Linked DNA regions of Coturnix japonica. The protein of the gene in region 1 interacts with the protein of each later gene in a pairwise test. Links are inferred from orthologs where the notes say so. Each region holds a gene or a part of one and is shown in the gene's direction. Other genes may lie near its edges. The genes, in order: APPL1, FSHR and ADIPOR1.

Region 1 (3,466 bases):
GTGTAGTCTTGTATGCTACACATCAGGAGAATAAGCGCCTCTTTGGATTTGTGCTTAGAACTTCAGGAGGGAGAGCTGACAGTCGACAAACTTCCATCTGCTATATCTTTGAATCAAATAATGAAGGGGAAAAGGTATTGGTGATGGTTATATTTGTATCCATTTTCTGATTCCAGTCGTTTTCTGACATGGATTCTAAGGTGTTAGTTCCATTCAGGCTGTCTATGGGATTTGTATGGGAGAGTTTATGTACTGAAAACAAGTTAATCCAATAGCTGAAGTAACTGTAAAATGCTTTAGCACACTATCGTACCTGATGTGGGAACGTGGCATGCTTTTAAAGGCATTTGTTAGATTCTTACAGACGATTTCAAATTTGATTTCTATTTAGATTTGTGACTCCGTTGGACTGGCAAAACAGATTGCTTTCCATGCAGAACTGGTAAGAATCTGTTTAGGGCACAGTATCCTTGTGAATGGAAGGGAGAAGGCATATTTAGAGTCTGTAATATTCTGTATTCTGCAGGATGCTTATAGATGCAGTAATGCTGTTGTGGAGAACTCAAAAGGATTTGTTTTATAGAATTTGAATCCAAGATAAAAAGATCTTCACCAGTATCTACCCTGGCACAATGCTCAAGATTGGAATCCACTCTGTACCTTTAACAAACATACCTGTCCATTAAAAGAAGCATAAATCAGGTGTCCCAGAAGTTTTGAACAAACTCAGATAAGCCCACAGCACACCAAGCCCACTGGGCAGTTGTTTCTTTTACTGTTATTTTTGCCCTTCAGGATCGAAAAGCATCAGAAAAGCAAAAAGAAATGGAGAGAGTCAAAGAGAAACAACAAAAAGAACTGACTAAACAAAAACAAATTGAAAAGGTATGCTCTGTTATTTTTAATACTATTTTTTGTTTTGATTTTTTTCCTATTTAGTCACTTTGTTTTGTAGCTTTGTAGTTCCAGCTGCAATATCACATTCTTTAGAACAAACAAACAGAGTATTGTGAAACCAAGTTATTGAAGTATTTTCTGTGCAAGTCCTGTATAATTTTGTATTTTAGTTCTTCAAAAGAGCTTTTCTGAGGAGATAAACAACAAAACTTCTTCATAGGGGGTATTTAAGAGCAGTGCTTGAAGGAACACCTATCGCAGACTGTCCCATACATGGCTGCAAGAAAACATCAGCCAGGCACTGACGCAATTCAATTGGAGATTGGAGCCTGCAGGGAGCAGGCTGTAGGCCAAGCTGTTAGTTCTGACCTGCTGTATTGTATGGATTACCACTAATAGAGGCGTTAAACATGTAAACTCTCCTACTGATGTCAGCTTTTGAAACCCAAATGTCCAAATCTTATTAGTAGTATTCTGTTTCTACCTTATGGAGCTTTAACTTGAGCATTATTTTTCTGATTTCCTTCCCTTTCCTCCCTCCTTTCTCTAATCAGGACTTAGAGGAGCAAAGCCGACTGATAGCTGCCTCCAACAGATCAAACCCAAGCAGTGGAGAAGGACAGTTTGTCGTCCTCAGCAGCAGCCAGTCAGAAGACAGCGATTTAGGAGAGGATGGAAAGAAGAAAAGGGAATCTGAAACCTAAGGTTGCCTAGTTCATTAAAATTGGAATCATGGATCTAAGTAAGGTCTACAAGAAGCGAAATCTAGGTGGAGGGTCTGTTGTATTATATAAAGACTTCACAATGTCTAGACCCTAATATGCCTTGCTGTTTCTTTCTCAATTAAGCGATTACCACTTTCATGTCAGTTTCAGTTCTCTTTTGTATGCCACATAGACATGGTAGCATCACCATTCTTTTTCTCAAAATTAGGTTTTCTCAAAGAATTCTCTGCAGGAAGGGAAAAAGATGGATTTTTCTTTTTTCCATTTGCCCATCTGTGCAATTGACTGCTTTGGAAACGAAACGTAAGTTCTCACTGAACTTGAGTAGTACTGCAATTTGTTCATTACACTGCAGCGTGTAGAACACCTTGCTGGAAACAAAAGGGAGTGTCCAGATAAGACAGTATGAAACAAAATCTGCACTGTGTGGTACCGTCTTTTTTTTGGGGGGTGAGGGGGATTCAAATGCAGAAGGTTTCCTTGAACAGGAGATAGAAATAAAAGACTGCGCTATTCTGCATCCTATAGTCAGTCTCCTAATGCATTTTTCAAAGCAGTCTCTGTTTATACCTCATAAGCCTGAACTCCATGGCCCATACCCTGTGTAATATTTATTTTGTATAATACTAAATGTGCATTCATCTTTTGATCCAGATGAGAAAACGTGTTTGAAGTAAGAAGAAATATTTATTTTTGCACTAATTACTATAAATACTAAACTCCAATGGAACAGATGTCTCTCTAATAGTGGCCTGAGCATAACAGAAAATGTAGAAAGAGAAGAGTATATTCTAAGATGTTTTATAACGGTTAAGAGTGTTTTACAGTTCATTGCAGAACATTTCTAGTCTTTGGCTTTCAGCCCAGCCCTTCATAGCTAGAATTGCATGGTGCTGGTTAAGTGAGGGATTTCAGGACCTCTGTGCTAGATGGCTGTAGATGCATAAAAGGAACACTGTCCTTAATTGCATAGAAGTTGTTTTGCGTAGGCTAACAAAGGCAACCTCCTTCTGCTTTTTATGCTGGAGATAGATAGGCATTTCTATGCAGCAACCAACTGCATCTGCCTCCTGTCACAGGAGAGAAAAGGGAGCATTGCTCTCACGGTGCCACTGACACCACAGCATAAAGAAGGGATCTAACACCTGTGGAAGTGCTCACAGTATTTGAAAGAGGAGGTGGAGTGGGAGACTGAGCAAGAGAGAGGCTCCAGGTTCTCTTCCTTCTGTTTCAGCCCGTTCATCCTCAGAGCAGCCAGTAGCTTGCAGAAGTACCTGCTTTTGCTGTTATCCAGTCAGGCCATGTGGCATCAGCCTGCGACCAGATGTTGCCTTGTAGTGTCACATGGACCATACACATCTAAGGCTTTAAAAACAAACAACAAAAAACAAAAACTTAAGTGGCATTTACTTCCTGTCTGGTCTTGTAACCTCATCTGTAAGAGGCTACTTTCATTCTTTTCAACAGAAACGTACAGAAAGGCAGCAAATGCTTTTCTTTCCTTTTCCTGCCTATATCCAGTTGCGTGGCAGCCAGTTTATCTCTACAAGTTGCTTCAGTTTATGTTTCCTTCTCTTGGATATTTTTTTTAATGTAATGATTTCTACTTTCTATGAAACAACACGCCAGCACAGCCCAGATTTATAAAATCAGTGAGGTTGAAAAGATGACTAATATCATCCAGTCCAACCTTTAACCTCCAAACTTACTGTGTCCTCCTCAAGTACACACAAAGATAAATTAATTCAGCAACAGCAAAGAAAATATTAAATCGGTGGTCCTCAGTTCCAAGAATCTGGTCACCTATACCACGTCTGTCAGAGTGAGATGAGCTGCAGTGGGCA
Region 2 (3,651 bases), on another chromosome or scaffold:
AGTCAAGATGGGAGATAAGCTGTGGTCCTGTGCTGGAAAACAGACACCAAATTTACTGTCTAAACAGTAAGTGAAAGTAGGCAGAGCAGAACTGTGTTTGCTTTGCAACACATTGTCAACTGTTTTATTTGAGAATTCAAATCAAGTTCGGATCTACCTTTATGCAAACCTATGGCTGTAAGTTTCTGGAACAGCAAAACTTTGATGTTCTACAAGAAACAGTTATTTAAGGCCTTTATTTCTTACCTCAATGGATCTGATCTCAGACAAAACATTTGTGTCTTCCCTCGGTCTACACATGGAGAAGAAGGGTTCCAAATGAATCCTCTAGAAAATAAAGCCAAACACAAAGTAACTAAATTAAAACAATTATAATAATAATAAAGACAATCGAAGAAAAAAAATTTCTTGAAACTTTTCCATTTTTTCCCACTGAAAATTCTCAAAACATTAAAAAAAAAACCCAAACCATTCTAACAGTGGTTGTGGAAGCTAAGGCTTCCCTTCACTCCTTCCTTTCACTTCACTTTCCTTGAGAAATGTGGTTGAAGCAAAATATTCTGCCAAGTCTACTACTGTTATCTGTGATGGTATCTGTCTTTCAGAGATTATCTGGAAGCCCTGCTCGCTTCATGCTATTTATTTGCTTTAATGGCCAGTGACAAATATGATATTAGATATACTCAAAATGAATGGCACACACTGCAGATGCTCTGTGCCCTGAAGGAATTTTGGTTTTCAGTACGACACATTGACTGCCAAAAACTTCAGGAAAAAAAGGAAGTAATACTGATGAACAGGGGAGTGATTCAGGCTCCTTTCCTTATAGGCCACACTGAATTGATTCTTCAGAGTCTGGTGTTATGTAGGACATCATGTGTTTTCCCCATGTAGAATCACCTTCCCAGTGACAGAGAAATATGTGAGAAATAGAGCTGAAATAAGGGAGGCTTCTTACTCTGTCCAGGTGGATAACTGCCTCAAGATTGCTAGTAAGGCAATCACCAGGATTTCATTCCCATATGTTTTATGTTTGAAATTAATTTACAGTATCATGTAATGTTATATAAATAGGGACCTATCAATCCATTGCTTTCAAGTTCCAGGCAAACCTTTACAATCAGCTAACCAGAAGAACCGAACTGCTGACGTAAACAGTGTGATTCTGTGTTTGTTGTGAGCCTCATGCTGTGTCTCTTAGTTTACAACTCTGCTTTTTCTGTATGTTTTTGTTTTTTAACAATTTCAGCACGGAATTATACCCAATATGTGGCATATCTCAGGCTAAGCAAGACCTCGCTGAACAGACTGGCAAAAAGAAACGCAGACGATCTGCAGCTGAAGATTACATTTCCCATTATGGCACACGTTTTGGCCCTGCAGAGAACGAATTTGACTATGGCTTGTGCAATGAAGTCGTCATTGTGGCTTGCTCACCCAAACCTGATGCCTTCAACCCCTGTGAAGATATCATGGGACACAATGTTCTGAGAGTTTTGATATGGTTTATCAACATTCTAGCTATCACTGGGAACACCACTGTCCTAATTATTTTAATAAGCAGTCAATACAAACTCACTGTACCTCGCTTTCTAATGTGCAATCTTGCATTTGCAGATCTCTGCATAGGTATCTATCTGTTGTTTATTGCATCAGTGGATATCCAGACCAAAAGCCAGTATTACAACTATGCCATAGACTGGCAAACTGGGGCAGGATGCAACGCTGCAGGATTTTTTACTGTTTTTGCAAGTGAGCTCTCGGTCTACACGCTGACTGTGATAACTCTGGAAAGGTGGCATACTATTACATATGCCATGCAACTTAACCGCAAGGTTCGACTTCGGCATGCTGTGGTTGTAATGATTTTTGGCTGGATGTTTGCTTTCACAGTGGCACTTCTTCCCATATTTGGCATCAGCAGCTACATGAAGGTCAGCATCTGTTTGCCCATGCACATAGAAACACCATTTTCTCAGGCTTATGTTATATTTCTTCTAGTGTTGAATGTACTCGCCTTTGTGATCATCTGCATCTGCTACATCTGCATCTACTTTACTGTGAGAAACCCCAATGTTATCTCTTCAAACAGTGACACCAAAATTGCCAAGCGCATGGCTATATTGATCTTCACAGACTTCCTCTGCATGGCACCAATATCTTTTTTTGCAATATCAGCTTCACTCAGGGTTCCTCTCATCACGGTGTCCAAATCCAAGATCCTTTTGGTTTTGTTTTACCCCATTAATTCCTGCGCTAACCCTTTCCTCTATGCCATTTTCACGAAGACTTTTCGCAGGGATTTCTTCATTCTGTTGAGCAAGTTTGGTTGCTGTGAAATGCAAGCCCAGATTTACAGAACAGAGACTTCCTCATCTGCTCATAATTTCCACACAAGAAATGGCCATTACCCTAATGCATCAAAAAACAGTGATGGGACTATTTATTCACTGGTTCCTCTGAATCACTTGAACTGAAATGCTTGCATGAATTTGTGTCTGAGGCAGTGTGATAATCACTTTCAACTATTTGAATAATGACTTCAACATAGCATGCAAACGTATTTTTTTATGAGAAAACATTTCTATTTCCACTTTGCTTTTTTGTTCGTCCTCATAGATGACACATAATCTTCATTAGTTCTTGAAGGACAAAGAATGAGACTGCAATATACGTCAAAGTGTCCTTGTAGAATTGTGTCCAGAAATAAATGAGCTTACAAATGCATATCTCCTACTATACAGGCAGAGAATCCCCTCAGTCTAGGAAGATGTCAGATGCTTATTGAGAATGAAGTAATAGTTATATGTGGTCAAAAAGGAGGAGGAAAAAAAAAAAGTAGAATTACTTCTGTTGTCTGTAAAATGTGTTGGAACAATGGCAAATAATATTAACCATGTCTTCTGAGATTACAGGAGACAGAAGCCCAGTTTAATGCGCCCTACGACTGCGTTGATCGAGATAGGTGGGCCCAAAGGATCAGATTTCATATGAATTTCTAACAGTTTTGTTCAGCTTAAGTTCTGTTTTAGAAAACGAGAGAGGAAAAACAAGAGCAGAAGGAATCCTTCATAACAATTATTTTTCAATGCGGTTTAATAAAGTTGGGTTGAAACTGCTTTTGCAGGGCTGGATCCCTGGAGTGGGGCAAGGTGAGCCAATGGGTACTCTTTGAGAGTGTAAGAGGCACTGTAGGCCTGTACCATCCCTTCATGGGACACTGATCCATTTATAGCTGCTTTCAAGGTAGCTGTTCGTGGTTGGTTTTTGTTTTGTTTTTAACTGAAAAAAAGCAGTGTAAGAAAAAAATGCAAGATACATTTTTTTAACTGAAAAAAAGCAGTGTAAGAAAAAAATGCAAGATACATTTTATTCATACCTGCAATGCCCAAAAAGCCTCCTGGTTTCTCCTCAGCACTGAACAGTGTGTTTTATGTGTGTAATCTTTAAACTATTTTGCATTTTCCATTCTGAAATCCATTTTAATAAAACCAATATCAAAACAAAGTGCCTTGAGAACAACTGTACGGTCAGAGATATGCTGATGAAGTAAGCAATTAATGTTACTGCTTATCTGGAGAGTTCCATTTATGCAGTGCAGCCTCCACAATTGGGTTGCAGTGACCTATGAATGAGACTTGCCTGATGAAA
Region 3 (3,692 bases), on another chromosome or scaffold:
TGCTAATGAAGGGACCGGCAGAGCATCCCGTGCTCCTGGATCAGCTGTGGGGTGGAACGGAGCGCTCCATCCATGGGGCAGCAGCCACAGGGAGCCGGGATACACACATGGAAGGGATTCTGCCCCTCCCCACACCCCGATGGGCTCCTGACCCCCATTAGGCGACACCCCACAGCTCCATGCTGCCTCTGCCCCCCCAAAGCCCCATCACTCACCCCGGGGGGACACGGTGCTCAGCTCCAACCACCGTCTGCACCGATTTAATGCCAGAAAGGTCGGAAAATCCCCCCCGGTCCCAGCGTGGAGCCTGAGGAACCCCGTCCTACAGCCCGGTATGAATCATTGATGGGAACCGGATCCGGCAGCGGGGAGACACCGGGGGTAATTAAAGCTGGACGGAAAGACGAGCCGGCACCGAGGGCAACGTGGGCATCGGTGATGGCTGCCCGCACATGGCGGGGGAGGACTCGACGCCTTTGGGAGCTCGGATAACGCTGGGATGGACAGAGAGCGGGACGGGGGACAGACGGACAGGGGACGGGAGGACGAGGCCGGTGTGTCCGGTCCATGCCGTGTCGATGCGGTGACAGCACCGCGCTCCGTGCCTCCCGGTGCGCCCCCCCGGCGCTGCGCACCCCGTGCAATTCCACTCCCCGCCTGCAGGGGGCAGCAGAGGACGCGACCAGAGAGACGGCACCACCACGCTAGAGCGTCTCCCACCAGCTGTGAGGCTCAGCCAATCGCAGCGGGCGGCTGTGTGGGAGAGGAGAGAGACAGGCAGCAGCTCCAGCCAATCATAGCGCGAGTTCTGCAAGACCCCAGTGGGGGCGGGGCTTGGAGGCCGGAAGCGGCCCGTTCCCTCAGCGTCGCTTCCGGTGCCGCCGCCGCCGCCCAGCGCGGGATGTAGCGGCCGGTGAGTGTCGGTGCCGCTCCGGGACGCGGGGCCGGTTCCGGTGTCGGGTCGGTTCCGGTGTCGTTCACTCCGTTCTTCCTCCTCAGGACGCGGACGGAGCCCACGATCGTCTCCGCCGTTATGGCGTCCCGGAAAGCCGCCGCCGCCGCCGCCGTTCAGGGCAACGGGCTGACGGCAACCGGGAGGGAGCGGGCCCACATGGAGCTGGCGGAGCTGGGGCCGCTGCTGGACGAGAAGGGAGAGCGGGGAACGGCCGGGAACGGCAGCGTAAGGAGCGGGAACGGGGGGGGGCGGTGTGACCGGTTAACGACGGGATCGGTAAAGGACGGGCGGGGTGACCGGGATGAGACCGGTATGGTCCGGTATGTGTCCGGTATGTGTCCCATATGTGCCCGGTTGGGGCGTTAGGAGCCGCTGTGCCCAATAACGGGGATATATTGGATGCTTCGGAACGGCGGAGGGACCGGATCGGGATGGGGGGATCCGGGAGGTCGTTTCCAGCTTTAACGGTGCCGTGATTCTCCGTTAATCCAACCGGGATCGGTTTGTGCCCCGAGGGTTTGGGCCCCAAACGGATCGTAGCTCATGACGCTGCTAATGGCCGTTCAATGTGCCCCGGGGGGCTCCAGGCTGAGCCCTGGGGTCTCCTTTAGTTTGGTTGGAAGGATGAAAATCCCTCGTTGTAAAACCACCTTGAAACCGGGATCAAGCCGGGATTAGCCTGACGGGGTTGAGGCTGGAGCCAGTTATATAAGTGATGGGGAGCGGTGGGTCCTGGGCGACCCCATGGGATGGGATGGAGCCCCGGCTGCTCTCTGGGTCCCTGTGCCCCCCATGGTTCCCTCTGGGGTTTCTTTCTCCCTCTGGGGTTGTTTCTGTGTCCAGGCTGAAGACCCGCCGTGCCCGGTGGCCCGTGAGGAAGAGGAGGAGGTGGTCCGTGTGCTGACTCTGCCCCTGCAGGCTCATCACGCCATGGAGAAGATGGAGGAGTTTGTGTATAAGGTATGGGAGCTTCGTGGGATCCCTCCTTTGGAGGTTGTGCTCAGCTCTGCTGGGCTTCAGGAGCAGCAGCAGCTTCATTGTCAGTGCCTGGGAGCTGAAATGCTGCTGGGTGCCACTGCTCAGACCTGGTGCTCGTGGTCACCATGTTTGGCAATACATGAGGCCCTGCACGGTTCTGTCAGCCAGGCTTCATTTTAGGACTAAAGCTAAAGGGAATCCTCCAGTGCTGGGAGCAGACTCGGTGTGCTGAAGGGTTAAACGCTGCCCATTGTCTGCAGCTCCTTAGGGGATGTGGAAGTGCAGCGCAGGATGTGGGTGGTGTAAGGGATTCCACGGGGTGTTGTGAAAGCCAAAGTTCCTCTCCCAGAGGAGAGTTTTGGGGCCTTTTCTGTAGGCAAGACCTGCAGTTTGAGCTCCCAGGGTGATTCAGCTTGAACCTTTGGGCTGTATCACTGCTGCTGCCAGCCCTGGTGGCCACCAACACGAGTTGGTTTGTTGCAGGTATGGGAAGGGCGCTGGCGTGTGATCCCTTACGATGTGCTGCCCGACTGGCTGAAGGACAACGATTACCTCCTGCACGGGCACCGACCTCCGATGCCGTCCTTCCGAGCCTGCTTCAAGAGCATCTTCCGAATACACACCGAGACAGGCAACATCTGGACTCACTTGCTAGGTGAGGGGGGGGGTGTGTGGTTGTTCAGAGCTTCTGTAGGGCTGGAGGTGTGCTGTGCCCCCATGCTTGAGGCAAGGGGTGGCCTCTGAAGGACAGGTTTGCTCCAAGGGATTTACTTGATGCCCACCGCCTTCCTTTTAGGATCACGTACCCCTCTGGTTCTGCACGTGGAGGCAGCTCAGTTGCTGGAGGCTGGGAGCTCCTGGGCTTCAGAGTGAAGGGAGAATAGGGACAGTCCCTCACAGCAGCACTGAGACCTGAGCTCAGTGGTGTCATTTATGCTTTTCAAGAGCCAATGGCCCCATTTGGACATGGATTGGGACATTCTACAGAGTTCTGGCCTGCATGGGGACTCAGAGGCTCAGGGTTTTCAGGTGCTGGCTGTGCTGTGGCCAGACTGCTCCCACTGCACAGCACTTGTAGGTCAGCTGTTTCTGCTCCTGGGATGGAGAAATGTGTCCTGGGCAAAACAGTGTCTCATAAAACCTCTCCTTGAAAGCCAGGATGTGTGCAGCCTCTGTGATTCTCCTGGCTCTTTGCTCTACTAAGGAGGCATCATGTTTGTAAGGCAGAGACCCCCAGGCATTGATTCTGTGCCTGCCATGCTGGCCTCTTCCCCCCCCTGTATCCCTTACCACCTTCCCTGTGCTGCTGCCAGCGTTCTCAGCCTGTCTCAGGGATCCTCCATCTGTTGTGTTCCCTCTGTCGATGCTGGATGTTCCTCTGTCTGACTTCCCGTTTGCTGTGTATATACTGCAGGTTTTGTGTTGTTCCTCTGCCTGGGGATCCTGACCATGCTGCGGCCCAACATGTACTTCATGGCTCCTCTCCAGGAGAAGGTTGTGTTCGGGATGTTCTTCCTCGGGGCGGTGCTGTGCCTCAGCTTCTCCTGGCTTTTCCACACTGTCTACTGTCACTCAGAGAAGGTCTCACGGACTTTTTCCAAGTGAGTCAGCACCGCTGCGGTCTCGGGATGTTCTGACTTCTCACAGCACTTCCCCTCTGAGTGCTGCATTCACTGAGGTTTTGTTCTCAGGGGAAGGGAGCAGTGTGGGGCTCAGAAGGAGCAGGGTCTGGGATGGCTCTGTCCTGTATCTCAGCATC

What was found.
Region 2: the proteins of APPL1 (region 1) and FSHR interact in a two-hybrid assay, tested with the Homo sapiens proteins (2 studies listed by BioGRID). The link is inferred for Coturnix japonica from reciprocal best matches to the Homo sapiens genes APPL1 and FSHR.
Region 3: the proteins of APPL1 (region 1) and ADIPOR1 interact in binary tests that used the Homo sapiens proteins (3 or more experiments, as listed by UniProt). The link is inferred for Coturnix japonica from reciprocal best matches to the Homo sapiens genes APPL1 and ADIPOR1.

What each region holds. Positions count from the first base shown.
Region 1 is NC_029527.1:6,340,570-6,344,035, forward strand, and holds part of APPL1 (DCC-interacting protein 13-alpha), read left to right. Parts: coding exon 1-134; intron 135-391; coding exon 392-442; intron 443-795; coding exon 796-885; intron 886-930; exon of another isoform or gene 931-1,451; coding exon 1,452-1,601; 3' UTR 1,602-3,466. UniProt on the Homo sapiens protein: Multifunctional adapter protein that binds to various membrane receptors, nuclear factors and signaling proteins to regulate many processes, such as cell proliferation, immune response, endosomal trafficking and cell metabolism.
Region 2 is NC_029518.1:9,165,388-9,169,038, forward strand, and holds the end of FSHR (follicle-stimulating hormone receptor), read left to right. Parts: intron 1-1,249; coding exon 1,250-2,477; 3' UTR 2,478-3,309; downstream 3,310-3,651. UniProt on the Homo sapiens protein: G protein-coupled receptor for follitropin, the follicle-stimulating hormone. Through cAMP production activates the downstream PI3K-AKT and ERK1/ERK2 signaling pathways.
Region 3 is NC_029541.1:1,478,740-1,482,431, forward strand, and holds the start of ADIPOR1 (adiponectin receptor protein 1), read left to right. Parts: upstream 1-806; 5' UTR 807-913; intron 914-999; 5' UTR 1,000-1,033; coding exon 1,034-1,180; intron 1,181-1,798; coding exon 1,799-1,915; intron 1,916-2,416; coding exon 2,417-2,588; intron 2,589-3,347; coding exon 3,348-3,534; intron 3,535-3,692. UniProt on the Homo sapiens protein: Receptor for ADIPOQ, an essential hormone secreted by adipocytes that regulates glucose and lipid metabolism. Required for normal glucose and fat homeostasis and for maintaining a normal body weight.